3 separate regions of the Mus musculus genome follow, and regions 2 and 3 are each reported to be linked to region 1. Evidence: microRNA targets listed by miRTarBase, many of them from high-throughput screens and not tested one by one. Region 1 holds a microRNA gene; each other region holds the end of a gene's coding sequence.
Evidence for each region. Region 1 holds the annotated microRNA mmu-miR-1968-5p (UGCAGCUGUUAAGGAUGGUGGACU, at 3,873-3,896, opposite strand). A microRNA usually pairs through its seed, bases 2 to 8, with sites in the 3' UTR of a target mRNA and lowers its output. Matches are read on the target gene's strand: a 7mer-m8 pairs with bases 2 to 8, a 7mer-A1 pairs with bases 2 to 7 and ends in A, and an 8mer does both.

Region 2: the mRNA of Cdc42bpa is a reported target of mmu-miR-1968-5p. Seed matches in the 3' UTR shown: 7mer-m8 at 3,182-3,188 and 7mer-m8 at 4,511-4,517.
Region 3: miRTarBase lists Itgav as a target of mmu-miR-1968-5p. Seed matches in the 3' UTR shown: 7mer-m8 at 5,276-5,282.

The regions. Positions count from the first base shown.
Region 1 is chr8:13,185,196-13,192,930 of GRCm38, forward strand. Mir1968 (microRNA 1968) reads right to left here and starts at 3,903; the gene lies at 3,836-3,903. Grtp1 (GH regulated TBC protein 1) reads right to left here. Exons shown (of 8, transcript NM_025768.2): 3 at 6,855-7,013; 4 at 4,428-4,552; 5 at 1,688-1,784.
Region 2 is chr1:180,160,264-180,167,998 of GRCm38, forward strand. It overlaps Cdc42bpa (CDC42 binding protein kinase alpha), which reads left to right. Exons shown (of 37, transcript NM_001359541.1): 36 at 1,277-1,434; 37 at 1,772-5,340. The coding sequence ends at 1,903. Coq8a (coenzyme Q8A) reads right to left here. Exons shown (of 15, transcript NM_023341.3): 15 at 4,975-7,193. The coding sequence ends at 6,906. Among named protein-coding and RNA genes, the nearest start is that of Gm38331, 16 kb to the left of the region's middle.
Region 3 is chr2:83,801,697-83,809,431 of GRCm38, reverse strand. Itgav (integrin alpha V) reads right to left here. Exons shown (of 30, transcript NM_008402.3): 27 at 7,549-7,662; 28 at 7,347-7,454; 29 at 6,430-6,552; 30 at 2,515-6,192. The coding sequence ends at 6,097. Among named protein-coding and RNA genes, the nearest start is that of Fam171b, 7.0 kb to the left of the region's middle.

The DNA.
Region 1 (7,735 bases):
TCCTTACTATAAGGGCCCCCAGGATTCTCCCACGAAGCTGCATCCCCGTTCCTCAGATCCCTAGGGCCTCTTTACACAATCCAGATACTAATCCTGTCACCTGTTCAGACCACACACACCTGTCTCCACACCAGGAGCTTCCTCACTCCCAGGATCCTTAAACAAAACTGCTAGCATGGGCTTTTTGGTTTTGGAGGCAGGGTCTAACTGTATTAAGCCTTGGATGGACTAGAACTTGTAATGTAGACCGGGTTGGACTTGAACTCACAGAGCTTGCCTCTGCCTCCTGAGTGATGAGATTAAAGCCATGTATCTCCATGCCCTGCTTCCTGCTGGTTTCCACATGTCCAGCTGGGCTGTGGCATCCAGACACAATGACCAAAAGCAATGGGAGGAGGAAAGGGTTAATTAACCATCTACTTCTACATCTCAGTCCATCACTGAAAGAAGCCAGGATAGGAACTCAAACAGGGCAGGAACCTGGAGGCAGGAGCTGATGCAGAGGCCATGGAGGGGTGCAACTTACTGGCTTGTTCCTCATGGCTTGCTCAGCCTGCTTTCTTATAGAACCCAGGACCACCAGCCCAGGGGTGGTACCACTCACGATGGTGCCTTCAATCAAGAAAACACCACGTTTGCCCACAGGGTATTTTTCTCAGTTGAGGTTCCCTCTACCCAAAATGACTCTAGCTTGTGTCAAACTGACATAAAACCAGCCAGCGCACATCCCTGCCTCTGTACCTCACAGACTAACAGCAGCAGCAAGGTGAGCTTGCTTCTGTCTGGTGGGTCCCAGTCCACCAGCATCTCCCTACCACAGGCCTCAGCAAGGTACTTTAGAGTCCTGTCAAGGTGCAGAACCCAAAGACAGCAGGACATCTGCCTTGAGCTGACCCATTCCCTAGACCTCCAGTCTCCTTATCTGGGAAATGGGCTTGACCAATATGAACATATAACTTAGGTTGAAGTGTGGCTATGTTTGAAGTTTAGCAGGAACCAGGAAAACAGCCTAGGCTAGAGGCCACACCCCCATGCATGTTCTCAAAACCCTTCTGAGGGGCCACGCATGGGACTGGTCAGACAGGAAATCCTCTGCCCCAGGTCACCTCCCTCAGGATAGCACTGGCACTTCCCAGGGACCCTCACTGTAGCCTAGGGTCTACACTGGCTTTACTACCACTGGTGACTAGTCTCTATTAATGAATACAGAAGACACGTAGGTGTGAAAAAGACTTCCCACTTAGAAAGCAGCAACCCTTGACAATAACGTGCTGAGTTCTAACAAGCCCACGAATACACTTGGACTCTGTGGCTCATATGTGATCAGGTCGACTACAAAAAGGCCACGCACATGGGGATAGGACCATGGGACACACGGCCAAAGGCAAGACCACACCCTAAGCAGAGGGCACAGAAACCCAATTCTCCTTAATGTCGGCTTCCACAAAGCCACAGTTTTCACTACACTTTTTTTTCTCTTTTTCTCTTTCCAGTGTTATATTAAACCCCAGACCTTCTCTAATAAAAGCCAGAAAGTGCTCTATTCCTGAGTTACACCCCAACCATTTCACTCCATCCTGACTTGGCCAGCCAGACCTTTTCAAAGACACCAGAGGCAGGGCAGGGGAGGGTGGGCTGGGGCAGGGGAGGGGAAGGGCAGGGTGAGCAAAGAGAACTTTCAACCTACCAGGTAGTATCCTTCCAACAAGAGCGTCCAAAAGCCAGAAAGACTCCTCTTCATTCTTCGTGATAAGGATCAGATACCCAGCTATGAAATTCATTCCCTGAAATCAGAATGGAAAATAAACAAACAGCGCACAGCAGGCTCCGTTCTCTTGCCCTTCCGGGAAACTCGTGATTCTCTAGACCAGCAGTTCTCAACCCTCCTAATGCTGCGACCCTTTCATGCACTTCCTCATGTTGTGCTGACCCCCCAACCATAAAACCATTTCGTTGCTACTTCATAACTGTAACTTGCTACTGTTGTAAATCCTAACACAAATATATGATATACAGGATATCTGATATGTGACCCCCGTGAAAGGGTCTTTGACCACGCTCACAGGTTGAGAATGGCTGCTCTTGACCTACCTCTGCCTTGCACAGTGGAGACCCAAAGCTAGTTGTCTGCACTGTTCTGCCAGCCAAGATGAGGGCATTCAGCCTGGAAAACGCCGGCTGCCACTCAGAATATGACACCGAAGGCGCTCTCCTCCTAGTGCTGGCCCATGGCACAGTCAGTCAGTGCTGTCTGACCCCTAAGGGATCAGCCTGAGCTGTCTGACCAGCACAGAGGCCGTGCAGAGGGGAAACTGTTAGTGACCGAGTCTGTAACAGCAGCAGGCATCAGCCAGGCCCAGTGACATAGTCCTGTAGCCCTCCCAGCTTTTTCAGAAGCTGAGGTAGGAGGACCACGAGTTCAAGGCCAGCCTGGGCAACTTACTGAGACTCTGGCTCAAAATTTTAAAAAAGTGAGGACTATGAGATAGCTCAAGGGGAGGCACGAGCTCTGCACGTTCAATCCCCAATCCCCCAAAAGGACAAACAATAAGAATCAGTGGGGGATCATGGTTCTGCCTGGAGTGGAGCACCGAGAGGATTCTCTCCCTAATGGGCGACGGTGCCAGGGTGCCAAGTGCTGGCACAAAGCCAGGCAGAGGCCATGGCCCTTGGAGCTTATGATGGGGACCTTGGAATGTCACTTCTGGGAGGATAAAGCTTTGCACAACTCCGCCTCCCTGCCTTTTGTTCATCTATCCTTTTTAAAACCGGTGGGCATTCCTCTAGAAAGGAGGGAAGAAACCCAGCTTTCCACAGACAACAGGATAGGCTCAAATAATACCAAACTGGCACCGCACGTGTGGTCTGCGCAAAGATACACGTACCGAGAGGCAATACTCACTGCCAGGCACAGAGCCTCCACCCCTGTTCTCCACCCAGAGTGTCCTCAAGAATGAGACTCAGTGCACAGGTTAGATGCTCAAGGGCTGGGGACATGGCCCTAGCAAAGCATTTGTCCCACAACTGCCTTTGGATCCTCAGTGCCCGCATGCAGAAGCCAGCACCATAACAGGTGCTGATCTCAGTCCTAGAGAGGAGGACACAGGCTGATTACTCCAGGCCCTGCTGGCCTAAATCCCCTAAATTAGCAAGCAGCAGGTTTAGTGAGCTCAGAGGCCAATGTCTTTAAAACGAGGTGGGGAATTATCTCTAGGGTAAGACGCCTGATGTCAGCCTCTGGTCTCTGCACACAGAAGCATGCACGCACGCACTCATGATCACACGCACAGGCCACAAAGCTGAATGAAGCTCACTGTCAGAGAACTTCGCAATCCTGCGGAAGACCCAGGTTTCTGTGCGCAGCACTGAAAAAAAGAGAAGGGGAAGAAGGAAAGTGCGCAGACCACAGCACCATGACAGGACAAAGGCCAGGGACCACTCTATGCTCCCGCGTCATGAGCTGATGAGGGAGACAGCTCCTGGAAAGATGGCAGCGTGGGAACTGTGGTTCTTCACCTGTGTGAAGTCCATCTTCATCCAAAGAGAGTGCCAGGCCATTTGCAAACACTCTGACTTCCCCGTGTTACAGGCGGGACTGTGTCCCCAAAGCCAGAAGTCTCCTGCCTCAGTGTGGCTTCATCTGGAGACAGGTCTATGCAGATGTCACTAGCTAAAATGAGTTCCCTTTGGAATAGGGACCTCCACTTAGATGATGTGTGCTCCTACAAATAGGGAGAACCTAGACACAGACAACAAGCAGGGCAAATGTGGAGGAAACAACAATCCCAGGAATGTCAGATTCTGGGGTGAGGCCTGGACAGGAAGTAGGGAGCACCCTCCTTAACAGCTGCAGAGGTGGTGGCCCTAACAATAGTCCACCATCCTTAACAGCTGCAGAGGAGGTGGCCCTGACAGTAGATCCACCCATACCGGGGTCTCACATTTCCAGCATCATTATAAGTTAAGCCATGCAGTTTGCAAGCTCACAGGCCCCAGCACACCCTGAAACACAGTCAGGAAACTGTTCCCCAACTGGCAATCCAAACAAGACCAAAATCTGCAGGTGGGATCCATGACAGCAGGCGTCCAGAAACACGAGAGAGGTCAGTACCTTCATGCTCCCCCACACCCACAGGAAGCCTCCACAGCGCGCCTCAGGCCCCGACCTCCTCCTACTCTGTGCCCACTCAACGTCATTCCCACTCTTCCCAATTCCCACCCTCACCAAAGTCATCCAACAGGTGCCGTCTGCTTTTCCAGCAGGGACACGCTGCAAGTTAAGCCTACTGTGAGGAAGGCTTCCTTACCCAGATTTCATGCGCCTGGAATAAAGCTTGTACCTACAAAAGGTCATTGCTGAGGACCTGTGGGGTGCCAAATATCCCCCCTAAAACATGCCAGGTTTTAAACAGGCTCTGAGGGCTCACCTGGCAGTACCCCACGTCTGGGTTGTGTAGCCCATATGCCAGGAGCACGTTGTACAGGGTCTTCTGGAGACAAGGATCCGCTGTCTTCCGAAACATCACGTTGTCAGGGAATGTCCGGTTCAAGTCTACACAGAAATTCACCAGCACCATGAAATTTCTCTGCATCTCCCAAGGTGGCTAGATTCTGTGTCAGATTTCTGGAATGGCACCGCCTGGCTGCCCCCGAATCACCCCAGAGAAGCCTAGCCACCACCTCACCTGTGTCGCACACCTGAGCCTGGGCAGCACAGGAGACAGCACACTGCACCAGGAAGGAGAGCGGTGATGGAGCCCAGAGCTCTGTCAGAATCGGGAATGGAGCTCTGGTCTCTCCCCTGGACACTTCCAAACACCCTGTTAGCATGGGAGAGAGCTTCCAAATTCCCTAGCATGGGCCACACCCCTCTGATCCTTAATCCCAGTACTCTAGAAAGAGAGGCAGGCAGATTTCTGAGTCCAAGGCCAACCTGGTCTACATAACAGGCCAGCCAGGGCTACATAATGAAACTCGGTCTCAACAAACAACCAAACACTAGGCTTGGTGGCTCACACCTGTAACTGTTAACACTCTCAAGGCTAAGGTGGGATGACTGCTGAGTTCAGGGCTAGCCTGGGCTACAGCATGCACCAAAGTTCCAAGAGAACTGAAACAGAAACTGCCCAGAACATAGGAAGGAGAATGGGCCAAGATTCCCTTCAGAGATAAACCAATAGCAAGAATTAAGTAAACTCACACTACCGGGTTTTGTGCCAAGCCTTCCCTGCCCCGCCTCTTCCTGCCCTTTGTAGCCCTTCACCTTCCATAACCTCCCAGACCCAAAACATCTCTCCTGGAACTATAAACATTCGATGATGCAGAAAGGTCACGGTGGCATGCAACTGCAGACTAGAGGGCAAGGCGGTGTCCACCCTACATGGTGAATCCATCCTTGACCCTGGCATTGTCTTTCTACGGCCTAGGCGGAGCCGAGTGTGGATGAGGCTTGCGGCCCTGTCTCTGGTTCTGTGGTCATGGCAAGCCTACCATGTGGTCCTCTAAGATGGTTTATCCAGATACTCAAAACAGAAGCCGGGACCTGGCTCAGGTGGCAGTGCCTGACTGCATGTAGAAAGCCCTGGTTTCCTCTCCAGCACCACAAATACCAGGCATGGTGGCATCCACCTGTAATCCCAGCACTCAGGAGGTAGTGACAGGTCATTTATGGTTACATATGGCAGCCCAGGCCAGTCTGGGAGGCCATTCTAAGAAAAAAGCAAAGGTACTTGCCACCAAGCTTGGTGGCCTGAGTGCTATCCTTGGTCCCCACAAGCTCTCCTTGACTCTCGGTCCTCTATATGTACACACAAGCACATAATCAATCAATAAAATGAAACCTGTAAAACAAGCCAGGTCCAGGGCTTGTACCTCTTTAGTCCTACACTTGGGAGGTAGGGACTGGCAGATTGAGCCGAGGCCAGCCCCAGGATTACATAGTGAAACCATGTCTCAAAAACGAACATATAATTTAAAAACAGCTATGTGATAGAGCTTACATGTGTCCCACAGGATCTAAAGTCTGAGACAAACAGGGAAACGACACATTAGTGTTTAACAGGGACAGTTTCTGTTTGGGAAATTATAATATGCATATTTTCCCACAATACTTTTTTTTCTAAAAAGGCACTAAACAGAACCTTTAAAATTATTTTCCAGTGCTGGAGAGATGGCTCAGTAGTTAAGAGCACTGACTGCTCTGCCAGAGGCCCTGAGTTCAATTCCCAGCAACCACATGGTGGCTCACAAACATCTGTAATGGGATCCAATGCCCTCTTCTGGTGTGTGTCTGAAGACAGCTGCAGTGTACTCATATAAATAAAAAAATAAATAAACCCTTAAAATCATTTTCCAAACAAACAGCTAAAGTCAATCGTATGTAAGACATACAAGGCTACCTGAGGACCTCACTGGGTGCCACACCCCGACTGCCTCAGCTCACACAGGCCCTGGCTACGTGAACTAAAACTCAGGAGGGCAGTGGAGGCTGCAGGATGGTCCCACCCATGGCAGGACAAGCTCGTGCCTCCCTCACTGTTCTCTGCTAGGTAACTGTAAAACACAGTGTGTCAGCACACTGTCTTGACACTGGTATTGTTGACTAGAATTCCAGAGTGCTCATTTTCTAATGACCTAGTAGTTATACAAATGTCTGCTGTTCTCCTTGTGAGCACTCTAATCTCGATCCCCCACCCCCCAAACTTAGCATCTATAGACACATCTTTAGTAAGGCAGACTTCTTCATTGCCTATGACTTGAGCCAGGGCGGATCTCTGCTCCTGGAAGGACCCTACTTCACCCCCAACCCCCCACCCAAGCCCCACGGCACAAGGCTCTGAGCACAGGCCTCCCACCTGTCCTGATGGCCTCGTCCAGGCTGGAGCTGCTCTCGCCCTCGAGCAGTCGATGGTAGTATCCAGGGCTCTGGTCCATCCGGGCCTGAGCTCCACTCACGGCCATCCACACACGGGCCCGATGCTCCAGCGGGATTCCCTTCCGGACATAGCGCTTCACTGAAACCCAGAGAGACTGAGGTTGAGCTCAGAGCCCAGGGGATAAGGAGGGTGGCTCCTCTTCCTTCTTCACCTGAGCACTTGTCTTCCTAAACCAATGCAGAGAGGAACGGAAGCTTCCTGACGCTGCCCCAACGGAAAGCGTCCACAAGGCTTCTGAAATGGAACACAACCAGTACGTATCCTAACCGCTCTCCTCTACTGCACTGTCTAGCCAGAGCAGGGACAGACTAGGACTGCGGTCATCCTCTCTACCGCCATCCCTGAAAGCTACATACATACCCTCAACTCTGAGGACCAAAGGACTCTGTCCAGGCTGATTCTTGGCCCTAGATGGCCACTCTGCCCACCATGTTGGTTAGACCCACTACAAGACCAAACACCATTTGTCCAACTTGGGTGTGGCCCAGCAGAATAGAATGTGCTTGGCTTGTACAAGGCCCTGGATCCTATGCTCCGATCCAGAAGAGACAAAAACGAGATTTGAAAAGAGACAAAGCCATAATTTAAAAATGTCTCAGTTAGGAAGTAGGCAGAGATGTGGAGTCTCTGCTGCCCGCTGGACTTCAGGCAGAGAGGAAGGGCCAGGGGATTGCAGGGAGACAGTTCTCAGGGACCCTAGACACCAGACACTTGTCCTAATCTGGAGGAACAGAAGTAGGAGACCCAGGCCAGGTCTGACAGCCACGCAGCAACAGGGACAGAAGCCTGAGGGAGGCCAG
Region 2 (7,735 bases), not on the chromosome of region 1:
GCAAGCAAACAAGCTGGGCATGCCAGCACAGGGCTGACGCAAGAGAAGAGCAAGTGTCCAGGCTGAGCCATGTCACAGAACTCTGACAAGAAAGGTTGGAGGAGGCAGGGAAGAGACGAGGGGGCGAGAAGGAGCCACACACCACAGCATGTGTTTATTTACCTCATGAGCTTTCTGAGAGTCAGAATGGTTTGGGCTTTTTCATAACACTGTTGACATCTTTATTTGCCAATCAGAAATAACTTGGGGGCAGGGTCACTTAGCATCTAAGTGCAGACTCTCTCATCTCTGGGGCAACCAGTCTTGGGAACCCAATTTTAGTTTTAGAATACAAACAGCATCAGGCTAACCTACTACAACCATTTGGCAAGGACCTAGGTACTATATTTCTAGAACACCAGTTTACAAGCAGTAGTGGTAGTGTCTGGAAGGAGTCAGGGATGGTGAGGCTGTGAGGGCTTAGGGAGGGAAGGGCCTCGGGGGCATTGAGAACAGTCTGCCGGGTGTGCTTCTGCAGTGCCTTCTGAGCACTGACACAGTTGGTGGTCAGTAGCTGGACATACAATTGTATGGTGACAGTTTTGTTGGATTCTTAATGTAAAAGGCAGTTAACAAAATCAGTAATACATTGAAACAGTCTATAACTCAGTGTCCTTCACCAGTCATGAAACTTAATAAAATTAAAACTTTTCTTAAGCAAAGACTAAAGCATAATGAGAAACGTGGAACACTTTTAAATGGGCACTAACAGTACTTGTCATGTTTCCAAGGGTTCTTCTCTTGTTGTCAGTGCCACTGGTCCCCTTGCTATATGTCCCAGCTCTTAGGTCAGCATTTGAGGGTGCCCTCAAAGTAACCCCCAAAGTGTTCCTCTCAAGCTATGAAATAAGAGTGCTTTCTTGTGTTCTGTTTTCTATGAGAGTTTCTGAAAGGCAGCATTTGCCTGGGGATGGCTGTGTGCTTCTGAGAGTGCAGCCCATGTCTTAGGAGCCTCTGTGAGGTCTGGGTAGGCAGATGCCCCATCTGTTAGAAGAAAGCCCAACATGTCTGTGGTATGACGATGCTGAGGGCACCCTGGCAATGGCAGATGGCACTGGAAGGATTCCATGGGCACCACAGGGCCTGGGGACTGCTGTCTAAACACCAGTAGTCCCATAGCCAGAGGACAACAGAAACAACCTTCCGCATGGGACTTCTGTCTTCTTGGAAGCCTGTACACTTTATAGAGGTGTGGCCTCTTCTGAATACATAGTTCTTCCCAACCATTGTCCTGTAGGGTCGTCAGCCCAGAATGGCAGTGCACTAAAGAGGGAATTCTCTGGAGGAAGCTATAACACAAAGCGACAGCCCATGCCCTCTCCCTCGGAGGGCTCTTTGTCATCAGGAGGCATGGACCAAGGAAGTGACGCCCCTGCGAGGGACTATGATGGAGAGGTGAATGGGCCATGGATGGTGGCTGCACCTGCCATGCATGCTTAAGGCCAATGTTTCGTCCAGGCTGATCTACTCCCTGCCCCTTTGCATGTGCCTCTGAAGGGAGGGCAAGGCCTGTCACGGGTGTGTAAACTGTGGCTTTCCAGAAGCTTCAGGCTTCTAATCACCTTTCAATGAAGGGTTCAGCAGTTTTCATGTGTGTGCATCCTCCAGTCATCTCATGGAGGAGCTGTCTGCTGACACGCATGGGTGGTTGGGTTGTGGGTACTGGAGAGGCCTGGGGCAGTGATTGTTCTCTGTTCCTTTGCTTCTCACCAACGCTTTGTTTGTTTTGCAGGACTCTGATTCTCCAAGGCATTCCACAGCTTCCAACAGCTCTAACCTGAGCAGCCCCCCAAGTCCCATTTCACCCCAAAAGACCAAGAGCCTCTCCCTGGAGAGCACAGACCGCGGGAGCTGGGATCCATGAGCCCAGGACCGGTGACTGCAGGCAGGGACTCTGCACTCCCACTCCGACAACGTGCCTGGCAGCAGCCTTGCCTTCCGCACTGCTGCAATGGGGATTCCTCCGCAGCCAGGCCCGCTTCACCCTCCCCTCAACCCCCAGGTAGCTTCTGTAGACAGACTGCGCAGACGCAGCGCTAAGAGTAGACCGGTTGTGTTCTCACCGTAGCCCTCACGTAGCGCCCAGCAGCCTCCATGAGCGTCAGCCAACTGTTGCCAGGAAGTAAACCCTCACGAATTAAAACAATGCATATTTTACTACAATACAGAGTTTAAATAAATACATAGATGTAGAAGTTAAATACTGAATGTAAATAGTCAAAGAAGCATCTTGTGTTTGATGAAAGATGGATGCGTATATAAGAAAGATCATTTAATTTAAAGAAATGTGTTGTTTCTTGTCTGTTTCCCAGCTATGTCATATACAGGGTAGAAAGGCCTCAAGTGACACTGTAAAGAGATCAGAAGTCAGGTCCCCATGGTGTCTCTTCTCAAGCCTAGGCAGGCTGAGGTCACAGGGAAATCTAAGGAATGTTTGGAGATTAGTGCCATTGGTGGGATGTGACCTGAACACCACCGGGGGTGGTGAAGCCACTCCAGAGGCTCACTTGCTCTGAGGCATCTTGCCTCTGGTTCTCAGACCATGTCCCCCACTTACAATATTTTGGTATCTCGCACAGATGAATGTGAAACAATTCTGCCACCTTCCAGCCCTTCCCATCCTAACGGGGAATTCGTGGCTTCTGAAGATTATGGGATGGTCACGCAGCTACTTTTCTGTCCCTGCCAAACCTTGCCCCCTCTAGGTTGCAATGAGGAGTCTCTGGATTAAGCACAACTTCCCTGTTGGTTAAGGGTAGTTTTAAACACACTGCTGGGGACAGGTCTCCTTACTAAATCACAGAAAACCTCAGAAGCATAGGCTTGAATGGCCTTGACCAAATATGCCTTCCCACGTGAGGGGACGGTGGGGCTTGTGGTGTGCTGGCCACCGTGGACTGTGAGCCAGCTTCCCCTCTGGATATCTACTGCTGCACTTGTCCCAGGAAGCATGAGGAGACCACAGAGTCCTCTACTCAGACGTCCTCCAGCTACGCACACAGGAGGGGACAGGTGGAAACTAGTGCTCATGACGTAAAGAGGCCCTGCCTCTCTTAATCCTCTCCTCTTCCGGGATGGAAAAGCCACCATTTCTCCCCACTTTAAGCCACATCTGAAATAGATCTCCAAGCTGACCTTTACACAGCTGCCAGGCCCTGCAGGTCAGACTCCCCAGGCATGCAGCTTTATGGGGGTGTTAAGAGAGTTGAGGGTGGGCTGGGGTCTTTGTAAGCAGCAGCTTTGACAGACACTCTGGAGTCTGGAGTGAGCAAGGGTTTTTTGGGGTGGGCACTGTGTCACTCTATATTTATCCTTTTGGAAACAGATCATATAAAAATAACTTGTGTACACCCAAAAACAAGGGTCAGATCTTTAGTTTGGCCAGATCCCTATACATCTGCTTCAACTTGACACTTTGCTTGAAAGAGCTGCCTCCCCTTCCCTCCGTCCTTTCCCTCTTCTTTCTCCTTCCCCCAGCAGAAACCTGACCAGGCTGAGACACGCTGAACTCTACCCTGAGCCTTTGGTTTGTAGCTTTGACAACCAATTGTGAAGTTGCCTACAGGTGCTTGTTTTTAAAAGAACCCTTTTAGAATCAGTCTAAACCTCTACATCCCCTAAAGTCCGGCTCCACACAGTGACTTCCACCCCAGCTCTGCCCCAAGGAGCCCTGTGGATTTGGTGGATTTCCCACTGCTGTCAAAGAACTAGCCATCCCAACAGCAGCCCTGCTGGCCCAGAGTAGAGGGTGGGGTTCCAAAAATGACTCTCTTACCAGATTCATCCAGCCTTCTGTGAAGAGTATTCCTGTCAGAAACTGGGAAAGGATGGAGAAAGATGACTAGTCGGTTTCCAGGAGACAGAAACAAAGATTCCTCAGAGCAGTCAATAACAAAGATTAGAGACAAGGCCTTAGGTTTAAGCCTTTCTTGAGATCGCTCCCCCTACCCCATGGAAGGTATTTGAAAGTGTGTGGCACCGGGAATTTATCCAGAAATGGAAAAAAAAATACATTAAGAGACATTTCTGATATAGTGTCTATGGGTTAGTACTTGGTGCTATGTCCAGCCTGTATGCTATTTACCCTTTGAATTCTGGCTAATCTGTTATGTGAGTTTTGGGTGGGTATACAAAATATATTACAGGGTTTCGTTTTGGTTTTGCCAAAAACAAACGCCTTCCTATCAGAGATTGTTAAGCAGATCATATATATATATATATATGATTTTTTAAATTTGTGTACATACTCCCTGTGCTTAGCCATTTGTGTTCTTTCCCAGTGAGCAGCTTTAAGACAGGGGAATAACTGCAAATGGCCTGTTAGGCTTTCCACTGAATTCCTATAGCTAGGCTTAGAGAAAGCATCTGGAATTCCCGTCATTCCCACCAGCCCTTCTTCAGCTACTCCTCTTTCATGTTAAAATCCTGTCATTTTGTTAATTTAGTGGCCGCGTTTATTTCCAGGCAAGTTCAGCTGCCTTGTGTGGGTCCTTGGGTGTCATTAAAGAGAAGCCAGAGCAGAGGGGCAGCCTCCGTTCCCAGGGCAGCCACCACAAATTTAATTCTCCCAGCTCAGCACATCTAGCTGCCGCCCACCCAGCCCACCCCCAATACAGGTGCACTTAAAATGGCTGACACCCTGCTGTAGGTCCTACTCTGCCATAGCCCAAGGCCACTGTCCCCTTCCAGTTCCACCTGGCCCCACTGCACAGCATTTCCCTGTACCCTTGGAGTGGCTCCTACCTTGTTGGAACCTTCAGTCTTCACAAACCCAGTTCCTTGCAGAGCCCTGCTACAGTGAGTGTGTCTCCTGCTAGCGCCAGCACCACACTCTCCTGTCCCAGGGACAGCATCACACAGAGCCCTACTTCAGTTTTAGGAGACTGACTGTCATCAGTCAGCCTTGATGCCATTGAAAACAAAATGACCTTATTTGATAGAATAACAGCATTTATTTTATAAATTTTTAGGATTTTTTTCTCATTGTAATATTATTGTACAGTTTTGCATGGCCTCAGTGTAATCATTTTTGTTCAGAAAATTATGACCTGTGTGTGTGTGTGTGGAAGGGAAGATACTGCTTTGGCCTCTTAGCACTCATTTGGTTTGGTTTTGTCCCTAGATGTCCTAGGGAATTTCCTGACAGTATCTGCTACCAAACTATAACATGGATTCTTTTGCACAGAACTATTTAAGGTGGGGTGGTCAAAAATGTAACAAAGGATTTCTCACCAATATTTTATGTTGGTATCACCTAATTAACCAGACTTTGATGTTCTGCAATAAAATAAGGAACTGTCAGCATTGAGTATTCTATTTCTTCCCGTGTGGAGAGTGTGAGGCATTCTTGGCTCGCTGATCTCCCTCTGGACCTCTTCTCTATCCCAGAGGACACAGGTCGGTTTGATCGGGTCCTGGAGCTCAGGTAAGAATAACATTCAAATCCATGGAAGTGCTCAACTCCCTTTCTCTGATAAGAACTCCCCGGGCACTGCTTTAGGCCCCCAGGGCACACTCCACTGGCGCTTGAGACTCGGGGTTGTCTGTCTGCAGCATTAACGTAGGAGTTGGATCTGTTCTGTTAGAATGGTGCAGCTGACACACAGGCAAGGTTGGGTGACCTTATCAGAGACCCCAAACCTGCAACTGAAATCATCACCCTCTTAGCCATTGAGACTCTTTCAGATCTTTCAAGTCGCACTGGGCCTCCAAGGCAGCATCTGTGAAGACCAAGACTTGGCAAAAATTCCACAAAGAAATGGACAAGAACACCACGCAGTAAAACTTAAGCTCGGTGAGCCTAGTGTGGTGCAGGGGTGGCAGTGACCCAGGCCCCTAGCCAGGACAGACAGCATGCATGGGTTGTATGGGCACACTGTTCCTGTCCCAGATCCAGATCTCAGTGTCTGTTCTGTAGCCACTGAACCCCACAAGCTGTTTTCTCTAAATGCCTAAGAAGCTTGGTGGCTTAAACTTGTGATCCTAATTACTTGGGGTGAGGGGGAGTTAAGCAGGAGGATTACAAGTTCAAGGCTTGCCTGAGCAACTTGATGAGATCCCATCCCAAAAGTAAAAGGGCTCAGGGTACAACCAACCGGTGGTAGAGCACTCAAGTCACTCTGCAAGGCATTAGGCTTAATCTCCAGTGCCATTAAAGTCCTGAGTCAGAGACACACATACATGGAAATGCTTAATATCTGCCTATGTTGCCATGTTCTGTCCCCATCAAGAGCAAGAGACAGACAAAGACCACACATCCAGGTCATAAGTGGGGCCACCTCCTTCCCAGGATTCACGGAACGCATAGGAAATGGCAGTCCCCAACGCACTTCTTTATTGAACGCAAAGGTATGAATGTGTAATTACAAGACATACAAACAAAGAGCCTGTGTCGCTCCCCTGGGGTGGGGTGATAGCTCCCTCTCCTGGGGCATGCTGGAGCCCTGCTGCTCATCCAATGTCAGCCCTGCTTTTAAAAGGGTCTGTTGTCCATGCTGAGACTGAGCTAGGGTGGCTACCCTGCTGTCCTGAGCTTCTAGCTCCAGGCCACAGGCTGGGGTGGCAAAGGGCAGGGACATAAGCTCACCCAGAAACACACAATTCATTCCCATGGCCAACTAGACCCCAAAGGTGGCTGTGTTGAGTTTAGTACTGCATTGCTCCTGTTCCTGGTTGTACATCCACAGCAGGGAGGAGATGGCAAAAGAAGCCTGCCTTTTTGTCTGGACAGTACAGAAGCAATAGGAGGGTCTACGCAACGCTCTCTTCCTATTCATAGAGGCCGTGGCTCCCTTTCAACGTCCTCCCTCTGCTTGACTGAGCCTGAAGGAGGGCATGGCCCCTAGTTAGCCTGGACCACACCTCACCTACTGCAGCCCAGACTTCATCCTGCAGTAGTTACTGTACGCTTCCTCGAACATGGCCTTACAGGGGAAGCGGGCCTTCAGCTTAGAGCAGATGAGGAAAGAGCCACCCATCTTGCGGTGCAGAGAGTAGGTCTCCTCTGGGGGTGGGATGAGGCGGTGCTTCAGCATGACGGGAATCAGGTTGTGGATCTTCTCAGTAGTGCTCTGGGTACCGAAGTCGAAGGGCTCTTCGGAGGCAAAGGCCTCCCCCAGGATGAGAATAGCATCCAGGTGAGCATCCTCCATGGCCTGCATCAAGAGGAAGGCAGAGATGACTGGGTCAGAAGCCCCAGACCCATCTCCTGCCACAGCTCTCCATCTCAGTACCCAGTTCTAGGGTCCGAAGGACATCAGAGGTGACAGAATGATGTTGGTCGTAAACCGTGTCAACAGGTAACTAACGTCAACCCTCAGGAGCTGAGCAGACACAAGACCACGTGTGACACACAGTAGAGTGCAGGGGCCTTCCTTCCTCTCACAGCATCCACGTCTGTCTTTACAAAGTTGTTCTAGCCAAAAACACAGATCACAGGATAGGCACTACCGGGGCTCAGCCACTGTGGAGATTGTGGTGGGAGCCTGCCTAGTTCCTAGCACACAGCAGTAGTCACCTGCCAGGCACAGGATGCATGAGAAGTAACTGTCACCAGCAGAGCACTGGAGGGACAAGGGGCACCCAGGTCTGCGACCAATCAACCCAGCTACACAGAGGAAGCAGGTGGCAGACCGTGGGAAGGATATGAAGGAGGGCCATCCATCCTGATGGAGCACTCCTGCTAGGCGTGAACCAG
Region 3 (7,735 bases), not on the chromosome of region 1:
GCGCTATTCTAACTTACATCCCAGCCATATGTCCCTTGTTACTCCTCTCCTGATCGTGTCATGGTCCATCTCCTCTCATGGTGGCAGCCTCCTCTCTCCCTGTTCTTTCTTCTTCCCCTCTCTTCTTGCAACCCCCCAGCCAGGTAACCAAAAACCCACCTACCACCCAATCACAGGCTTTAGCCTTCTACTGACCAATTAACTTGGGGGTCAAGGTTATATAGCATCACTTGGTGTACGAAAGTATCTTCTCTAAAGAAGCAACCAGATCCTGGGGGCAAGTATTTAGTATTTGAATACATAGCAGCACCAGACCAACTCCAAACAATGTAGGCTGGGAAACAGGTCAGGCCAGCACAGTTGGGTTAAGATAGATCCGAATCTTCCCAGCTTAGTGCCTGAAGCTTTCGCAACTATAGCAGGTCTTCATGTCATTGTTCAGAGCAAGGGCAGTTGTAGGAAAGCCATACTTTTACATTTGGTATCCAATGTGCTAAGCACAGAATCCAAACATGACAAATCCAAGCTTAGAGCTGGAGTAAGGTCTGACACAGGAGCCAGATCAAAAAGCCGGGCACAAAACCCACCAATTTGGGTGTGAGAAAAACGCCTCTCCCCTGTGAGCCTGAGAGCTGGGATGGAACAGAGAGCATGAGGTCTGAACTGGGCATCAAAAGCCAGGAAAGAAAGAAAGAAAGAAAGAAAGAAAGAAAGAAAGAAAGAAAGAAAGAAAGAAAGAAAGAAAGAAAGAAAACAAACAAACAAACAAACACAGCCGGGCGTGGTGGCGCAAGCCTTTAATCCCAGCACTCAGGAGGCAGAGGCAGGCGGATTTCTGAGATCGAGGCCAGCCTGGTCTACAGAGTGAGTTCCAGGACAGCCAGGGCTACACAGAGAAACCCTGTCTTGAAAAACAAAAAACAAAAAACCAAACCAAAAGAAAACAAAAAACCCACACAGAAGAAATCCAAGCACAGACAAACTTCTGATCAAATTAAATATTAAATTTTTCTGAATACATGCTGAAGAAAGAGACTAGGTATAATATATATATATGTGCAGACATAGATTGAAATTAATAAAAAAGAGAATTAAGTAAAATTAAAAAGAATAAGACACGTAAGGATGAAAATAACAATAAACAGTATTGGACCCTGTATAATACTATTTTAGATGGCTTAGAAACAAAAGATGAAAAGATGGACTTAACTGGAATCGGCTCATACATTTACAGGGAAATGGATATTATTTAAAGCAGCCCGATGAAGTAAAAATTGTAAAGTTCAGTGCTATAAGAATTGAAGATCATTGGCTTATAAATGGAGATTCTTATCTTTCTAGCAAATTTTTATTTACCCGAAGAACTTCTATTTTCTTGGTGAATTTCAGTGTACAAAGCAATGGGTTGCACAATGATGTTTCTCAAGTGTATCGAGTACTATGAATACACCCCATGCTAACCTCTCCTCACCCTCCCTTCCCGCTATTTGCCTTTTTTCCCCCCTTGAATATTCATGTCACTTTCCGTATGTGTGCTATGGTCAACAGATGAGGGAAAACATGCTGATTCTGATTTTACTCAAATTTGATAATCTCATCCATTTCCTTCAAATAATAGCATTTTTTATAAAGTCCTACTATAAATACATATTTCTCTTATCCATCCATCCATCAGTGAACTCCTAGACCGTTCCCCTAGCTTGGCTATTGTGAACAGTATTGAATAGTGTCACAATAAACATGGATGATCAACTGTATTCGGTGTGTTTAGCTTTCCAGGACTGCTAGATCTGGGGCACATTATAGTTCTATTTTCATTATCATGGGCCCTCCAGACTGATTTCCACAGGAGCTACCTTGGTTTGCATTCTCTCCATCTCCCACTAGGAGTTCCTGTTCCACACAGACCACCCAGCACTTGTTTGCTTCGTAAACAATTGCCCCTCGGACTAGGTTAAAACCAAACCTCAATGCAGTTTTGATTTACATTTCCTGGCAGCTAAAATTGAACATTTTTTTCATGTATTTAGTGGCCATTTATGTTTCATCTTTTCAGAAATGCCTGAGTCTTTTATTTGCTCATTGAAATGACTGGATGGTTTAGCGTTGTGGAGTTTAGTTTTCTGAGTTCTTTACAGCACCTAGATATTAGTGGTCTGCAGGCTGCAAAGCAGACTGAGACTTTCACCTGTTCCATAGTTAGCCTCTTTTTTCTGCTGTTTCCTTTGATGTGCAGATGCCTTTCAATTTCACATAATCTCACCGACTGATTCTTGCTATTATTTCAAGGCACTGAAACGCTAAGAATGTATCTCCTTCCGAGGAATGTGTCTTAACACCAGGCTCCCTTTGCCTTTTGTTTGTTGGTTCCCTTCCTTTAGATAACTATACCCTTAAATCTTTGCACTTGTAGGGAGCTGTGTCACCACCCTGAAGTCACTGTTTGATGCAGTATCGCTGGTTCCCGTAATTAGGAAACATGAGCTCATAGGAGAGGATAGAATCCACACAGGAAGCTGGCACCACACGTTCAAGTTTATTGTACAGTCACAAGTTACACACTGGAAACAAAGCAGAACATGGTACCTGCTTTTACTAACTCAAAACAAGTTAGCAAATGACAGATTTCAGGAGAGACTCATCTTATGTCTCACCCAATGTGGGTGATCACGAGAGAAGCCAAAAAAAATTATCTTCCAGGTTACTTAGCGAGCAAAAGAATTTGATACACACAGCTTCCAAGTTACCTTAATATACTGAAAGTGTTTTAAAACTGGTAAGGAATAGTTCATCTTCCACCTAAAATAAAATGCAGATTGGATGGTTTAGAGGTAAAAAAAACAAACAAACAAAAAAAAAAAAGCAAAGAAAAAGCAAAAAACAAAAAATTTCACCTATATATCTACAACTACAGCAGAGTTGTTCTTTTCTGCTAACAAAAAAATACTAATAAATTTCGGATTAAGATTACTAAATAGTGACTTATATTTAAGTTTCGTTACATTGTTATATTGCACTTAAGAACAATGACAACAAAATTCAAAGATTCAGTACCTCACAGGAAGTCCATGACATATCAGAAATTATAATGAATGCCAGTGTATACTGCAGATGGCATAGCCACAGGTTCATGGTTCAAATAAAAGGACCAAGTCCAAAGAAACCTTTACAAATTACTAGACATCAAGCAATTGTATTTGTCTTTTTAGATCCCATAATACATTTTGGTCATCTCCCCTTACTCATCAAATTAAATGTACAAGCTAGCCACGAGTAAGAACAAGGTGACACAGAGATAGGCAATGGCCACACACAGAGACTCTAGAACAACTTCCTTTCCTTCTCCTTGAGGCTCTCCCCAGAATTCTCTCAAATGGGGATGGATGCCACCTTGGCCTTCTGTTGCCCTACAAGAACCAGTTGCTCTACCAATATATACTTTGCCACTAAATTCCCTCCTCGGGGTTAGACTCACTACAGAAACTCACACTGTTCTCGTAAGGCGGCAACAAACTCTTGTCTGCTCTTAGTGATTTTCCTCATTATATAAATAATGTATTCATGAGGATTTACTATTAATAAGTAATATTGTAATACAGGTAGATTTAAGACAATATTTTGACTGTTTCACCTTCCGTAGTCATTCAGAACACAATCAGAATTATGATGATAATTAAACATAAGGGAGGAAAGTAACCCTCACACAGATGTTTTAAAGTACCAACTCTAAAATAAATATCTCTATAAGAAATCAGTATCCACGTTAATATTCCTCACATGTGTCAAATGTCCTCTGGATCAATCAATTTCTTTAATTAACCTATATTATGAAAATTTTATGCTTAGAAATAAATGTTAATTATTGGTAAATTACAAATATGAATCTAAAATAATCTCTTGCTATTTTGTTGACTACATGCCTATGCTGTTATGGGATAAAGAGTATCTCAACATTTTTTTCAGAGTGTTAACTCTCAAATTACAGTTCCTAAGTTTACAGAGATACAAATTTATATTTTTTAAAAGAAAATCCATGCTATTGTTGAAAACTACATCATGTTAATTTCCAATTACAAATATCTTTCAATCTCTAACAGAAAGTTATTCCTTGGCATAGAAGCCATAATAGGAATAACTGTAAAAATCAATATTGATTTTTACAAAGAATGAATTTCATTGATTTTCAGGAATGACAACTATTATGTTGACAGACAAAGAAGGTAAAAGTTTGTATAGGCCAACTTAGTGACCTGTGTGGTAGTCCTAAGTAGCTTAGAGACACTTGTCCCTAAGACCAAAATGTTTCTTAAAAGAATTTAAATGTATTGGTTTAAAAAAATAATTATTGCATATATGATTATGATCTTTCAAGCCAGAACTCATTAATTTAAAATTTTATTAAAGCTAAATATAGGGTCCTGTCTATATTCTAATTCGTACAACTCACATAAATGTGCTTCATGTTATGAAAATATATTCTCCAAATTAGCTCATCCATATGCACATGGAATTAGCCTAAGATACGGTGAGACAAACTTCAATTACTTTTAAAATGTAGAAAAATATTCAATTATTTAAGAGAAATATTTTTCATTGCTTAATGAGGACAGCATTTTAAAAAGCTATTAAAATTCTCAACTTCCAATGCATAACATGATGTAATTGCACAAAAATAGAGCTATAATTGATAGTTATCCCGGGGCCTTGAGGAACTGTGAATAAATCACCACCACTTAAGACGGTCCCGTGCTTCCTCTGCTGCCTCTATTAAAGTCCCAGAAAGGTAATTTAAATTAAAAAATGTAAGACAGAGTTAGAAGGTTTAAGGAACAAGAACTGCTTACAAAAACACCTTTGTAGCATTCTTTCTGACAGTGGAGGCAGGTTTTATAGATCACCTTGCTTAACCTGAGGTTCTACCATGCTATTGCTAGAAACCATCCCATGAGCCACCTTTGGAATGTGGGTCCCAGGCATCTCTCGTGGGGTAAGGGCGCGAGATCCAGGTTCCTATAGGTTATGAAGAAGGTCTTGAGCCATTCTCAGTTTTGGAAGTGGAAGGAAAATATGAGGACAGGAGGAAAATAAATTACTAATAATTAAACGCTCTGGTCCAATTAAAGAATGTCTTTTTGATGAGCAGTTAGAGTAGAGACCCATGGAGAGTCTCCAGGGCTTTTCCACATTGCAGGCAGCCAAACAAAGGGAATAGATGTACTTCAAAAACCCCTTCCAACTCCACGGGCTTCAGTCAGCAGCAGCAGCAGCAGCAGCAGCAGCTGAGACCACACTATTACTTAACGGGTATTTTTAATTATAAAATTTTCTGCAGGAAACGACTTAAAGGATTTGATGTAGAATTTAAATTACAAAAGTTAAAATACAATAAGACACAATGCAGACTACACATAAATAAAAACCTAACTTTCATATAAAAATACTGTACCATTGTTAATACAGGAAACTGCTGGTTTTCCTCCCAGTGTGCAGGATTGAACCCAGGGAGTTGCACACGCTTCGAAGTGAGCTATAGTCCCAGGAAAGAATTTTGATGGTATCGTGTTATTTAAAAGTTCTACTGTGTAAATGATATTAAAATCTAAGTCCATGCAATTGCAAAGTCTTCAGTAGCTTATGAAGTCAACTGTAGTGTAATGTGTACCTGTTCTAAGTGCCTGTGCAAACTTACTGATGGTCTAAATTTGAACTGCTTTACAATCCTAATTGCCCTAACGTAACGTCGAAGAGAGAAACCCCACACAGTCAATTAGGAACAGTAACTGAAGAGGTACTATGCTATGTAACGTGCTGACTCAGTGCTGTCTGTCTTATGTACACTGAACAAAGATAATCACTTGAAATTCCATCACTTAAGTCCCTAAGAACACACGTTAGTGTAGGCGAAGTAAATGTAATCTGAACTTATTCATAAAGAGAAGTCGACAAATATCCATTTCAATTTTGTGGATAAACTGAGACTGCTGGGTGCTCTCAGCAATACAGTCCTGGGATTTCACTGTTCACGAGAGATGTTGAAATCCACCACCACGGTGGTGAACTTGGAGCGGACAGAAGTGGCGCCACTTAAGAAGCACCTTAGGTTTCAGAGTTTCCTTCGCCATTCTCATGAGGCTGAAGCTGTTCTCTTTCTTGCTCTTCTTGAGGTGGTCGGACACGTTTGAAAAAGCCCATCTGCCAGTTAAAGAAAAAGCATAGTTCTAGCTCAGTAACAGATCGCTGAAAGTATGACCGACTCTATTATCACCTCGAAAATTCAAATGGCGTTTTTGTTTAGTGTCCCATCCTGAAATAAGCCCTGCTCACCAGGCAGCAACACTGTGGGTCCTTTTCTCCTTTTCTTTACTCCCTTCATCCTGTCCCTTCTTCTCTTATTCCATCCCCCTACCCCCTTCAACGCCCATTACTTACCCTGTACATTACAAATACCAACACAGCCAGTAGCAGCAGCCCTGCGAGAACTGCCAAGATGATCACCCACACAGGCACAGGCATGGGCGCCGGCTGAATGCCCCAGGTGATGTTAGTGGTGACCTGTTGCAGAAAACACACTGAGTCTTAAATAGCTCACTGGCCTAGTCAGTGAGTACTCAACTTTCTTTTAATAATAAATTTAGTGGTAGTCACACCACGTTCTTTTTCTCATACAATCATTTAGTGAGTGCACGTTAGGCATCCATAGCACATGCGTACACACACACACAAAAGCGCACACACAAGACTCTGACAATAGGTTGACATCAGATTTAAATTGAAATGACTAGTAAATTTCCCAATACAGATCATGGCAGCTGATCCTATTTTCAATACTTAGATATCTTCAAAATATGTTTACTTAGCAGTAGTTAGTTAGTAGTTAGTAGTTAGTTTCCAACCTTATAACTGTGGGGAGAAAGTAACCCCAAAATATCCCCTGACAAATTTGGTATACAGTTAAAAAAAAAAACCCTGTTACACAGCACCAAGTGCTAAAGAAAAAGGGCCAGCTCTACTAATTCTAGGACAATGAAGTACAAGAACACCAAGGGACCAGAGCCTGGGTCGGTGGGATGACTCGTCAGCTAAAGGCCCTGGTCACCACACCTCATATCCAAGGTCCAATCCTCACGTCCCAGAATCAGTTCTGAAAAGCTGTCCTCTGACCTGCACACTGTGATACGTGACCCTCCTCAGCAACAACAAATGTAATTTAAAAAAAGAAAGAGAATGCTTTCCATTCTATAATCCTCTCCAATAACTTATCTTTTCACTTGTTCTAGTTAAACTTCCACTAAAATCACTAAGGTGTTTGCACGGCAGGTATCCGTGCTCTGAAGCCGGTGACTTACTAGTGTAGAGTTGAAGAGATCCTCGATCGGCAGGTTCTTGTAAGGGAATTCTATGATATTAAAGGAAGCAGATGACTTCAGCGAATAGGAATGGTTCTGGTTCTCCTTCTGCACAGAAATAACAAGCGATGGTCTCTTAGATAGCAAGCCTTATAACTCTTTGAAAAAATGTATACACCTGCTGGTACGTCTGTCTGCTTACGTTCATGAACGTCTCGGTCCACAGCAGGGATTTCACGTACAGGATTGCGCTCTTGCCTCTATCCAGTCGACCAACCTGGCAGGTGATCTGCAAGCACTTGGCGATTCCACAGCCCTGCCAGAACAGACCATTTCCTTACACAGTGAGATCACACTGGCATTTGTAACAGTTGAACATTAAGCATCCT